Linked DNA regions of Sus scrofa. The protein of the gene in region 2 purifies or fractionates together with the protein of the main gene of each other region. This does not show direct contact. Links are inferred from orthologs where the notes say so. Each region holds a gene or a part of one and is shown on either strand. Other genes may lie near its edges. The genes, in order: SNTB2 and DMD.

Region 1 (7,426 bases), on a different chromosome or scaffold from region 2:
TATGGTGAAGAAAGTGGCAGTGTAGGAACTAGCTTCTTTAAATGAGCAGCCTAATAATAATGTCAGCAGTATTTGTTACATGCCTCCTAACATACACAAAAAGCCAGCCCCTATCACATATGACACTGAAAATCTCAGCTATTCTAGATACAAAAACCATTTTCAACTCTGAAATTAAATTTCATGCCGGTCCTCTTCCTCCATACACCTAACCAGTATCTTTTCAGTAGATTTGATAACAATAATTTTAGAGTACTATTGACACAACAAAATATGATTTTCCAACAATATTCCAATGAGAATTGCTTCAAAAATACTGATCTTTTCTCAAATATCAAACCGTAAGCTGGACACTATACTGTCTTTCCTAACCTTCCCTGGAACGCTTTTCAGTTTTTAGTCTAATTCATGTTTCAGGTATTCCACTTCATAGCTTTAAAAATATAAATTCTAGCTTTCTGGATAGACCCTATTTCTAGCACATAGCTGCAGTAAATTCAACATACAATATGACAGAAGAGTAGTCGTTACCCCTTTGCACTGAGAATCTGTATATCTCTGAATATCTTAATATCAGTGCTAACAGACACTAGTCAAAATTACAAGCACACAGTTGTTAGCAAGTTTTAAGGTTCTAAGCAGTAAGTATGAAGGAAGAGGAAAAATCAGACGGATGAAAAACTAAATGCAAAATTTAAGGATAAAAAAATTGGCCTATACAAGAGATGACAGAAAACCAGGAAAAGAAGATTAGGAAAAGGTGTTTACATGTAAGAAATGCAAACTCATTCTTAATCTACTCACCTGAAACAATTCTTATTCTTATCATGTATTTTTTTTCCAAGGAAAAAGAAGCCTTGGATTTTAACAACTTGTTACCCTGGCTATTCTGAGAGTCTTTGTTAACTTGCAGCACACCTTCAGGCCCCAGCCCTACCTTCCTCATTCAGACTTTGTTTTCATTATGGCTGTTTACTGCTGCATTCCCAGTCCTCAAAAAAGCTCCCAGCACATAAACTGTCAAATGAATAACAACCCTGTGAGGAGTATTATTACCATCCTGGTTTTACAGATGAGGAAACGAAGGCGTAGCAAGGTTGAGTAACTTGCCTAGGGTTACAAACCACTAGCCAGAAACATGCCCAGGTCTGGCTGACCACAAAGTCCTCATTTGTACTCTACTCTCAGTGGGCAGAATAACTTCTTCAGGTCTTTTACTTACTTCTGAACCGAAAGCAGCTTTCTCTTTAGGGAAGAAGCTCAATTTGAACTTCAACTTCTCCATCAAACTTTTCCTGGGCATCCTCAACCTCTGATCCCCACGAATCTTTCCTTCTTATGTGATGTGCCTGCTCCAGAGTTGCACTGCAACAGTGCTTTTAGGAGTTTTGTCATGGAGCAGTGGAAACAATCTGACTGGGAACCATGGGGTTGCCGGTTAGAACCCTGGCCTCGCTCAGTGGGTTAAGGATTTGGCAACGCCTTGGATCTGGCAATGCTGTGGCTCTGGCATAGGCCAGTGGCAACAGCTCTGACTGGACCCCTAGGCCTGGGAACCTCCATATGCCGAGGGTGTGGTCCTCAAAAGACAAAAAAATTTTTAAAAATTAAAAAAAACCCAAAACCCCCAAAACCAACAGCACTTTTAGCCCTTTGCTGTATTATCTATCTTTTGTTTGTTTGTTTGTTTGTTTTGCTTTTCAGGGCCACACCCAAAGCATAAGGAAGTTCCAAGGTGAATCGGAGCTACAACTGCTGGTCTACACCACAGCCGCAGCAACGCAGGATCCAAGCCACATCTTCAACCTACACCACAGCTCATGGCAACACAGGATCTTTAACCCACTGAGCAAGGCCAAGGATTGAACCCGCATCCTCATGGATCCTAGTCGGGTTCGTAACAGCTGAGCCAAGAAGGGAGTTCCAAGCTGTATTATCTCTTTAACTCTCTCTCAACTCCCAACTTCCTGAGGGCAGAAAACAGGCACTATCTTCAAGTGCCTCTGGAAGTGGTAGAGTTGAATAGATGATTTCTGTATGAATGAAAAATCCCTACAAACCCGAGATGAAAAAGAATCCTTTAGCTCACTCAATTCCCTAACCACGGCAACCGGAGGCTAGAGCTTTGCTTTGCTTTGGGGTGGCAAGAGCTTGCCTGAAATCCCCTACCTACACCACAAAAGACCATCACTGCGCTATGTTAAAGCAGTTTTTCAGGCTGTGAGATATATAATGGAAGGACCATATAGTTCCAAAACTTTAAGGGCTAAGCATAAAATCTATCTTTTAATAGTGGCCTACCTGGATGGAACAACTAGCTCTTAATTTTAAATGGTTGACTGGTTCAATTAAATCACTGTTTTCGGTGATTTTGCATTATTCTAAGTAATTTTATTTTTATATCCCTAGGCTTGAAAGTTCAATTTCGTACTTCCCCACACATGTAAGAACAAAAACTACTTGTCTTTTACAAAATGGGAAAATAAAGCAGAACCTGTGTGTTAGGTAAATAGGCATTCAGTAAATAAATGTCAGGCTGCTATTTGTAAACCCTCTCAAAAGCACATGTGGTCTGTTTTAGACTAATGAATACTGGGAAGCATTTACTAGATGATTTTCATTTAATTGGTATGAATACCAGGTTCAAATTATATCTTAAAAAACCCTCGATTTTTAAAAAATATGGGGTAGAGAGTTAAAATGTCTGCCCATCACCACTGAGCACCATATACATAGTACACATTCAATAGTCTGGCTTTAAGAATTTATTACCAAATTCTTAGCTAGTTCAGTTTCAAGGTACACATTCATGGTAACAATGTTTTTTTACACACACACCACCAAAACCACAATCTATAATTTTACTCTCTTTATTAACACTAAATTCTGAGTAGTGTCTAGCCTCACCTGAGAGAAATATAAATAGGATATTACAAAGGTGAGACACTGGAATTCCACAATTGGAGCACATTAAATCATTTACTTGCAAATGAACATTTTCCCAGACATTTACCAGCGGATTTGGAAAAAAGTGAAGATCACTTTGCCCACTGGGTTTCTGGCCTCTCAGTTTGACAATTGGTCCCTTCCTACTCTCCCCACCCCTTCCCTTCTGTTCTTCTGCCAGGAATACCCTCCTGACTCATCTCAGCCTATGTCTATCACTTCCCTGGAGACCTGGCTCAAGATTCAACTCCTTGAAAAATTGCTCCCTGACAAATCCAATTTCCACTAACTACTGCATAACTTTGCATTTCCTGTGGCAATTATATAGTTTGCACTATACAATCTATAACTTGAAGGGTTTTTTGTTTTTGCATTTTTCTATCATTTCCCCAAATAGACACCAAATAGAGGCAGATCACCTTTTATGTTCTCTTCTATACAGCCAGCAATAAATGCTTTTTGAACTACTGAATCACAGTGAAAGAAGGCCAACTGCTCAAAAATTTCTAAAGCAGTATTACCTCCAACATGCACGAGTCCATTAAGGAGATGATATTTAATTTTGCCTTAATTTCATAAATTCATCAAAGACGACCCAGGTCACATACATATTTAAAGTAAATAACAATCCTGGCTATTCAAACATGACTTGAGATTTAACATTTCAGGCTTCTAATAAGCTTAAAGCCTTGAAGCAGGACGCCTGTGAATGGTAGGAAGCTGGCACCAGTCTCCTAAAAAAAGGGCAAAACTCTAGTTGGCAGTAAATGTTCAAACACGTGAGCCTTCACTGTTAAATAAGGCTCATTAACCACACGAACTTGCTGTTTCAGCTTTCTGGCTTCAATGAAGTGCTAGGATCTCCTTTGGTTATTGTTGCGAGCCAATGATGGGTTAAATTCCCATAAATTAACCAGGGTTTCGAGGGTTTGCCCAAGCATACCGCTGGCATCGGACTGGATAATTTTTTTTTTTTTTTTTTTTTAACAGACCCGCCCGCCCTGGGAAGCCAGAGGTGAATGAAGAAACAGCCAACTCGGCACTTCTCAGGAGGCAAACCGAGACCTCCAGAACTCCGTTCCGTCCCTCTCTAGTTCTTAGTGTCAGCTTATAGTGCAGAGGCGGGGCTTCAAGCGCGGCTGCTTTTTACTAAATCTCAACCGAGTCTTCCTTGGGGACTGCAAGCCACACTTCGGCGGCTGCCCAACTTTTCCTGCAGGGAGCATCAGTTTTTCCATCCTCCAAGTCCCAGCAAACAGGGTTTGGGGAGAGCCGGGCCACCAGCAGAAGGGAAGGTGAGGGCTCGGAGGGAGGGAAGGGGCTCGCCCCGCCAAGCGGGCAGGGTGGCAGAAACAAAGTGAGCGCCGGCCAGCCCAGCACCTCCCGCCCGCCTGCCCGCCCGCCGGCCCCGCTCACCCTCCAGCAGCACCTCCTTGCCCGCGCGCTTCAGTGCCTGAACGGCCTGGTCGTGGGTGGCCTGGCGCAGGTCGGTGCCGTTCACCGACAGGATGGCGTCGCCCAGCCGCAGCGCCCGGCTCTGGTCGGCCGCCAGTCCCGGGAAGATCTTGGAGATGAGGATCGGCATCCGGTTCTCGCGGCCGCCCTTGATGCTGATGCCCAGGCCGCCCGCCTCCTGCTTCACCACCCGCACTCGGCGCACCGGCGGTGACGCGCCCGCCTCACTCGCCGGGCCTCGCGGCGGCGCGGGTGGACTTGGGGGGCCCAGGCCGCGGCTCGGGCTCCCGGGCAGCGAATCGCCCGCGCCGCCGCCGTTCGGGAGGCCGTTGAAGGCGGCCGCCGCGGGCCCTAGAGCTGGCTCTGGTTCAGCCGCCGCGGCGTCGCCCGTCAGGCTCAGGCTCTCCCCGCTCAGCTCGGCCACCACCCGGACCCAGCGCTCCCTAAGGAGCAGTTCTACCAGCCCCGCTTTGGTGGCCCGCGTCCACACCGCCATGGCCGGCCCCGCTCCCGCCGCCGCAGTCGGCGCAGCTACCCTCATTCCAGTCAGGCAGCCTAGGCGCTTCCCCCTTCCCGCCCGAGGGGGCGGGCCCGGCCCCTCCCCCCGCGGTGATTCATTATTCATGAGAGGCCACGCCCACCTTCCGGAGCGGTGGGGAGAGGCCGGCCGGGACGCTTCCGGGAGGTCTAAGGAGTTGCCTGCGGTCCGGTGGGTTGCAGTTCACAGCTCAAGCGAAGTGGGGCTCGGTCTCACGTTCTCCCTCCGTTAGCCTCCGACCCTTACACCCTCCAGCTTCTGACCTGTACCGTTTAATGCACCAGAGCTGCCTGGGCATGGAAAGCAAAATCAGCTTCACAAGACACTTTGCAAGCCTGCAAGTTGAAAGCCTCCGAGTTGCAAGTTCACTTTTGCATTGATTGGTTCTTACTAAGTAAGTATTTACTGAATGCTCCGCTGTGGGCTCCTTTTGAGGCCTGGAGGTGAGATGAACAAAACTACCACAGCCGAGAGCTGGCGGTTTAGTAGGGGAGGAAAAAAGAGAACCAACCAACCTGATGTGATATTATGTGGTTAAGTGACATGTAGAAAAAGCCCTGAGACCGGAGTAGAAGTAGTTGAGCCTGGGGTCAGTTTCACAGAGGTGACAATGGAAGCTCAATAACTGGAACAGAGGGAACTGCATAAGCAAAAGTCTAGAGGCATGAATCCAAGCATTTGTCATTCTGCTTTGTAATACCGGTAATGCCAGAGGGGTTCATGTTTTCTTTAGCCCTGCAGCCACATTAGGTAGGCCTCAAAGATATTTGCAGAATGATGGTTACTTAGGAAGATGCCAGAATTCAAATGTGAATAGTGCAGGGTCCATGGAAATATAAGGATATGAGTGTAAAAAGACTCAAATAACCAAATATTGGAATTGAATTTGTAGATCTGACTTTCTACCCTGGAGGCCAGGGCCTTACATTGGGGCAAGTGCATATGAGCGTCCCCAGAAACTGATTACACAGTGCAAAGCCTGCAGCAGCTTTTGTCCAAAGCTGTAGGTGATAAAATTCACCTGCTTCTTCCAGTTTCCTGGCTTGAAGAGTTGAGGAAACTGAGGCCCAGAAAGCCAAAGCTTTGGCCCAGTGTCCACAAGTAACAAAACATCTCTGGTCTCCCAGTTTCCTGTTCCAGTGCTTTAAAACAAACACATACACACCCTAGACCATACTCTAGACCTCAAAAGTGAGGATCCAGAAATCATGCTGCTGAGAGAGATCTCAACATGAGGTCACTGTGCCCTTTTTCCTTTTTTTTTTTCAGGAAAAGCAAAATGCCCATATTTTCATTTGGGCAGGCAGGGGTGGGAGCAGTGGTGCCAACAGAGGGAGTGTGCAGCAATTCCTGTGAAAGGGGCTGTATACCTGCTTGCTCATGAAGTACATGTTGAAGCTCGTAAGCCATGTCCATGAACCAATCTAATGCACACTCATGTGTGGGCAGAAACTTTCAAAGAGCCTCCTATACCAGGAATTAAAACAATTAAAAAAAATTTTTTTTTAAAAAAGAAAGATTGGTAAGCACTCAGAGCCCAAATGAAGAAAGAATTCAAAATGAGAAAAGTATCTTACTCCAAAAATCATTACAGCAGAATCCTCTTTGCAATTAGCGGAGTGGGATTTTCCAAGCTGCAGACATCAGCAGAAGCTCAACCCTCTGGCCCTCTCCTCAATCAATTGCAGTGAGGCCCGCTCTCTGCTCTGGCAGGTCCCAATGTGCCCAAGTGCACCTGCAGTCACAGACATTTCTGGCTTTGCTCCAGCTGAGGCGGGAGCCCCCAGAGGCCTGAGTTAAGCGAAACTTCTACTTATTAGAGAGCACTTGGCAGCTGTCTCCTTAGAGAATGAGCACATTTCGAGCACGTTTACATATGTAATCACCCAGAGGTTGGGCACTTGAGGACATCTTTATTAGCAAAAGGGAAATGCTGGAATTTCTTTCCAAAAGTGTCAAGACCTTTTGGTCAAAAGAGTTGGAGGAAATCATAGATCTTCCACCTAAATAGGGAGGGCACTTACATAAGACAGTAGGTTATATAATGAAATATTTAACCCCGGTAAGATGGGAGGTAATAGAGATTGATATTTGGATTATTGGGGGATATTTACTTAAATTATTTCAAAGTACATCCATAAAAAATGTCTAAACTATTCAGCCATTTTTACAAGGTCCTCCATCAGAACTTAATTTTCACATTCTCCTTCATCACTCCTTTCGGATTGGCCACACTCATCCAGTCAATCTCTTCCAAGGATGCCTTGCACATTCCTGCTGGGGTCCATCCTTCCAAACACTTTCTGCCCCTTTCACTTTCCCACCTAGCAAGAGCTCATCCCCGTTTTCTCTGCCTACTCACTTTGTTGGGATTTTCCCTTTGAACAATTTTATTCTATGCCTTGCTTGTCTGTCCAAGTATATTATGATATACAGGACAGGGACCGCCCATTGACTTCTTTTTGTTCCCCACTATTCCAAAGTTGT
Region 2 (6,754 bases):
TGAGGACAAAGATCAAGTCTGTTTCACCTATAACTACATGTTTAGCACATTTTATAGTAACTCATAAACAATTGTTGCATGGAGGAATAAAGAAGCTGAATTAAATTCCTTATATTTTGCCAGCACCGTACTAGGAACTGTGAATTCAAAGATGTACACCATGATCCTTGCTCTTAGAAATTTCACTTTCTATGGGAGAAAAAGAAATACCTAAGTGACTTGCCACAACATAGGTAAAATTGAAGTGTAACAATGCAAGTATGAGTGGGGATCTTGAAAGCACTGAATTCAGAGCAGGTTCTGCTTGGTGGGAGTTGGGGGTAGAAAACTGGGTAAACTCTAAGGACAGGGGCCTTTTGAGTTGGGTCTTGAGGGCTGAGTGGCAGTTTACCAGTAGGTAAGGTGGCCTGATCCAGGCACAGAGAACAGCATTTGCAAAGGCAGAGTGTTATGAAAAAAGAATTGCATAGTTTGCTAAAGGAGGGTATGGACAGAAGTCTGCAATGGCCTAGAGGACAGAAGCAACAATCAGAAATTTAAGCCAAGGCTATGAAGAAACAGGATCGCCTGCCTCCACTGTCATGCAGGCAGTCTCCTACACAGAGCTTGGATTCAAGTTGGAACAGAGTGGGTAATACAGAAAGAGCAAAGAAACTGTTTATTCATTCATTCACCAAATACCTAAAATGCAGTGTTTGTAATATGCCATCTACATTGACTGGGAAATGAGATTTAAGGATATGTAATACAACAAACTGACTTACAGTGTTGGGGACCGGAATGGGACATTGGTTGAAAAGAGGAGAGAAACTGTGAAGGAGATATTCTGAAGTAAAATGAGCAATCAAGTGCAGTCAATGAAAATGTACAAGGATTGAAGGATGGACCTCAAGTTTCTAGCCTGAGCAACTTGTTGGATTATGATCCATTAACTGAAATAGAAAACAGAGGAGAAGGCAGGTAAAAAGGTATATTAGTAGGGGGATGGGCTAACAGGAGAACAAATGAACTTGCTTTCAGAATGGCTGTGTTTCAATTCTAATGGCATACAGGTTAGCAGATCAGCAAAGAAATCCAAATTATAAATTTAGATCTGTCACCAACCATGCCATTTCAAACTAGGAACATTTATACATTAAGAAGAAAAGTGAGCTAAGATTTTTATACAATAAAAAGATAACCGAACTAAGGTTAGAAACCTGGGCACACTGACATCTGAAGGGTGGGTAAAGTTTCAGAATTGAGGAAAATAAAGGAAGAAGAAGAATGTAGATGAAACAGTGCTATGAAAGCCAAGGAAGAAAAGACCTTCCAGAATGAGGGGGCTGGCAAACATGCTAAGCACAGGTGAGAATATCACTTCTGAGTTTGAATCTAGAAGGACTTCCATTGGTTTTGACACTAGATAAATAGATAAAATACGTTCCAAGTTGCTGGTTTTTAACATGATACTCCTAAATATGAATATTCTTTCTTTATAAATATATTTATCAAATTTCTGCTAGAAGGGAATTTAACTTTGGTTTCATGGACAGTATTCCAAATAGAGAATGATATTTCCTAAGATCTGCGGTGGACAAATACAACTCAAAATTGCATATATACATTGCCTTCTAAGGGAAGGGCAGCATTAATGGTCTCAATTCACAGTACTTAATTCACCCAGGTCATATAATTTAGTTAGCCAATAGGCCAAAACCTAGACTCCTGGCTCTTGATTAAATGTTATCTTTTTCCCTACTCTGATACTACGATCCACAAAGGGTAAACACACACACACTCACACACACACACACACACACACACACACACACACACACACAACCAGACCACTTTAGTACACTTAGTTAATTTCCTATTAGTAAAGTCAAAATAATTTTTGCTCTATAACTTCTTAATATTTCTTTTTATATTACTGAAGACAGAGAGATGATGAGATCACTATCTTCTCTGAGAAAAAAATACATATGCCAGAAGACTCTGAATTTGCAAAAGATGGCCTTACTTTGAAAGATTAAGGGCCCTATTTTAAACTTTTTGAGATGAAAACACCGCAAATGAGTTCAGATTAGAACCTCTTTTGAGTCCCTCAAAGGCCCTGAAGCCATCCAGTAAACGGTACCTTGACTTTTTCGAGGTGATCTTGGAGGGAGTCAATGAGGAGATCTCCCACAGGCTGCCACGATCCCTTGATCACCTCAGCTTGGCGGAGTTTGAGGTCCAACTCATCCGTTGCCTCCTGAAGTTCCTGGAGTCTTTCGAGGGCCTCATCTATTTTTCTCTGCCAGTCAGCAGAGTGCAGGTTCAGTTTCTCCCACTCAGTGTTGACCTCCTCAGCCTGCTTTCGTAGGAGCCTTGTGACATTCTGGGCTCTCTCCTCAGGAGGCAGCTCTAAATTGGTAACACAACAAGGTTTTAGGCAACATTCATTTTTGTGTTTAAAAAAACCCCACTGCTGAAAAGGTCATACTGGGAGAAAGAAAGTATAGTTTAACAAGAGGCCAACTTACTGATTAATGGCTCTTTGATACTCTGGCATTTGTTTTGATACAGTTTAGCACATTTGAGTCTATCTTCCTGAGTGAATCTGTTCCACCTTCTATCAATCAGATAATCCAAGATTCATTTAAGATATTAAGTAGAAAAAATGTTAGGATGCACACCACAAGCTCTAGTTTACTTGAGGAAGGCTCTTAAATTGAAATTAGCTTGTAGTTTTTGTAACAATAAATTCCTCCTCACAGATAATCTCTTTTGTTGATTCTTTTCTAAATGTTTCAATAACTGATCGCTAATCTCTTTTAATGTTTATTTATGAATGTGCAAACAGATTTATGTATGGTGCTTTATGATTCCTTTCTCTTTTTCAACATCTATGTCTAATCTGAATCAATTCTATTTAACCTAGAAAATACAAGTGCTATTCAGACCCTGGCAGCAAGAATGGATGGGTCGCTCTGTCACCACTGATCCTTCTATCAATATGTTACCACAGTTCCACATTTAATTACCTCTGGGCTCCTGGTAGAGTTTCTCTAGTCCTTCCAAAGGCTGCTCTGTAAGAAATATTCGTACAGTCTCAAGAGTACTCATGATTACAGGTTCTTTCGTTTTCAATTCCCTCTTGAAGGCCTGGGAAATAAGATGAAAAGAAATGCTTATTTGGCTTGTGGCATTCTTTTGAAAATTAATCCTTGGTGCTCATAACTTGGTTATGAAATTCCCAGGTCAGTTTCTATCTCCTTTATTTCTAAACTGATTGTCATAAAATGATAAAGAAGGCTCAATGGATCTTTCTGGTAATCAGGAAACCAATGGGTTTGTAAAACTATTCTGGAGAGGACAGGGGTGCTTTCAAAATACATTAATGCCCTTTAATTAAGAAAAGAGTGCTTTATTTATATAACTGGACTGCCAAACTTGAACTCTGGGGCTAAAATTTTAAGATATATATTGCAAAACCCTTGCAATACAGCAATTCTAGGAGGGCTAATGAAACTTACACATATTCCATATAATGGAAATCCAGACCATAATGGGCCATTTGGGAAAACTTAGGTTGTATTGAAGGGTACAACCAATCCAATTCATAATCACCAGTCAATTCTGTCAAAATGTCTAACAATAAATATAATGATGTGTTAATAGGAAACTAAGTAGAAACTCAACACTTTCCCAAAATACCTATAACATTATTCATTGTGACTTCTTTGAAAATGGGAGAGAGGTTTTGAGGTATACTGGAGGTGAGAATTGTGGGAACAAGTTTCTATAAAAGAGTGGGCCTAGAATAGGTGTCTTGAGGTCATCTAGGTTAATCATCAATTTTCATCTCTAATCTATAATCTTCTTTGATATAGGGGATTAAAAGAAAAGCAAAATGCAGTTTCAGCCTCCAAGACATTTCTTAACCAAAAGAAGGGTGAAAACTAACATACTAGAAACAATGAAAACAATACAATTCTATATAATCAAGTGGGTTAAGAGATATCATGTGACTCTAGGATAAATGAACAGATACACTGAAACCATGGAAGATAGTTACAGATCCAGGTTCTGCAATCTCAGAAGAGATGATTTTAATGAAACTATTAAGTATCGCATAAATGCTAAAAGATCCATGTAAAAACAATAGTAATAATAATTGCCCTGATCTAGGGCTTAATTATTCATATCATTAAAAATTTCTATCCTACTTTTCATAATGTTGCCTACTGAGTTTAAACACTGTTCTGTTACTGGGAGACTAACTTGCAGTATCACCTTAAAACATAGGAGTGTTCCAGGAGTGTATGGTATGACACATTAATAAATACAGCTATAATGGTGTTCACCATTCAAAGGAATCCTGACTCTGATACTTTGCACAATGATCCATCTTCCGGAGTTATTTACAATTCGTAGAGTAAAGCAAGGTGATTAAGCCAAAATAACAAAATTCTGTAAGTGGAATATTAGGATTCAGCCTGTGGATAGGAATGTAATTTCCATATAGTGCGATATTGTTGCATCCTTGAAATCATACAGAGTTGGTGGGTTATTTATTCTGCTTACATGTAAGGCTGATTCGCCCTGCCCTGTTTCATTTGTAATCTCTTTCTGTATGTATGTGTTTGCATGTGTGTGCATACATGCATGTATATGTGTGTATACACTTCTTGTACTCCTGTATTTTTGTCAGACATCTAATTTTTCTAACTTTAAGGAAATTATTTTCTGCGGAAAGGTTCATTTGTACCATATTTTTAGTCACTTATGATGGAACATGATAATGGGAGAAAAAAGAATGTATACATGTATGTGTAACTGGGTCACCATGCTGTACAGTAGAAAAAAAATTGTATTGGGGAAATAAAAATAAAAAAGAAAATTATTGTCTTGCTTAGTCTCTCCATCTGGACTTGAAAAGAGGAAGCTGATCCCAACGTTAGTAATTATAAAAATAATAATAGCTCCCTTCATTGAACTATTATGTGTCAGTAGTTATACCAGAGACAAGAAATCCAAACTTGAATGCAAAACAGCCCTTCTTAGGTAGGAACTCATGGTATAGAGTGGAAGAGTTGAATACATAAATAACTTCAACACAATGTGGAAAGAACTATAGGTGGGCACAATATGGGAAAGGAAATTGGGAAAGACTTCCTGGAGAAGATAGTATTCACAAAGAATTCTAAAGCATGAAAAGGAGTTAGCTAGGGAAGAGCAGGTCAGAAGAAGAAGAAAGAAGATGCAAATGCAGGTGCGAAGACATAGGTGGCGTATGTAGTTTTCTCAAGTAGGCTAATGTTTCTAGAAGATAAAGTACAAATGGAAGACATGTCCAGAGATGAAGCAGGGCACAGTTATTATTTCAAACTACTTTGGACCTTTAAGTCAGGATTTGAAGCTCAATCTATGACCACATATGCCCTGCTAAGAAGTCTAGGTGTTGTCTTGCAGGTAATCAGGAGCCTTTGAAAGGATTTAAGCAGAGGACTGGTATGGGTGTTCGTGTGTTTTTCAAATAGATTTCTCTGACATTAGTACAGAACATGTATTTGAGAAGGACAGTAATGGAATCAGAGAAGACATTTAGGAGGCAATTCCAAGAATTTAGTGAAAGATAAGGAGGATCTGATCTAGGGCAATGGCATCATGGTATTAGGAAAAAAAAAAAAAGAGGAATTCCTTGGTGGTGCATTGGGTTAAGGATCTCGTGTTGTTACTGCTGTAGCTCAGATTTGATCCCTGGCCCAGGAGCTTCCACATGCCATGGGCATAGCCAAAAAAAGAAAAAAAGAAAGAAAAAGGAAAAAAAAGGGAATTCTCTTGTGGCTCAGTAGGTTAAAGATCCAGTGTTATCACTACAGCAGCTTGGTTGCTGCTGTGCCATGAGTTTGATCCCTGACCTAGGAACTTCCATGTGCTGCAGCCATGGACAAAAGAAAAGAGACAGAGGAAGAGTAGGTAAATGTTTATAGAGCAGAGATATAAGATTCTGGTGACTGAAGAGATGCTGGAGAAGAGAAAGGAAGGAACAAGGATGACTCCTAGTATCTAGGCTGGGTAGAGAAGTGAATGTAGGATGCAGTTAAACTAAATGTGAGGAGATATCCTCTCCTGGATTCTTCAATACACCTATAAAAAGTTCTAGCTTCCTGAACACCTTCCCATACCATGGGATTCAGATATGCAGTCATTTGTTTAGTTAATTTCTCTAATCCAAGAGGGCCAAATGGTTATAGCCCAGAGTAGTTTCCCAGTTTATGTCTCTAAGCTGTCACAATGACAGAAGTGCCTATCTCTGCAAGGTATTTATATTTCAGAAATTTAAAGCCCAGACCTTGGAGACATTTCTAGGCTGTAAAACCTGAGACTCACAGGGCTAGCTGGCTCCTAGAGAAGTTGGAGTGAGGACTCAGATCCATTAAATTTTCCAGGATATCCTTCCAGAGGGAGAAGAGGACAATGGCCCCCTTCTTTATAAGCAGAGAAAAGTCATTTTTTCCTGGTCTCTTGCCTATGGAGTACCCAGCCACTCATGTAGAAAGAGTTTTCGTCAGCTCTCACCATGTCTCCCTAGGGTTGAGGCTTGAATAAAGGGAGGAAGGTAATGATGATATTTACTGTAAAGTAATTAAAAGAAATTTGTCTCAGATCCATAACACATCATGCATACGTTCAGGATAAAATTAATCAAGATGAATATAAAAACCCCAGCACTAGTATGGGGGGGGAATCTGTGTGGGGAACAGAGTAAGGGGGTGTGATA

The links.
Region 1: the proteins of DMD (region 2) and SNTB2 purify together in Homo sapiens (co-immunoprecipitation; 4 studies listed by BioGRID and IntAct, counting the BioPlex papers as one, with this or other methods). This does not show direct contact. The link is inferred for Sus scrofa from reciprocal best matches to the Homo sapiens genes DMD and SNTB2.

What each region holds. Positions count from the first base shown.
Region 1 is NC_010448.4:17,769,555-17,776,980, forward strand, and holds the start of SNTB2 (beta-2-syntrophin), read right to left. Parts: upstream 4,997-7,426; 5' UTR 4,943-4,996; coding exon 4,363-4,942; intron 1-4,362. UniProt on the Homo sapiens protein: Adapter protein that binds to and probably organizes the subcellular localization of a variety of membrane proteins. May link various receptors to the actin cytoskeleton and the dystrophin glycoprotein complex.
Region 2 is NC_010461.5:27,385,707-27,392,460, forward strand, and holds part of DMD (dystrophin), read right to left. Parts: intron 3,133-6,754; coding exon 3,012-3,132; intron 2,392-3,011; coding exon 2,123-2,391; intron 1-2,122. UniProt on the Homo sapiens protein: Anchors the extracellular matrix to the cytoskeleton via F-actin. Ligand for dystroglycan.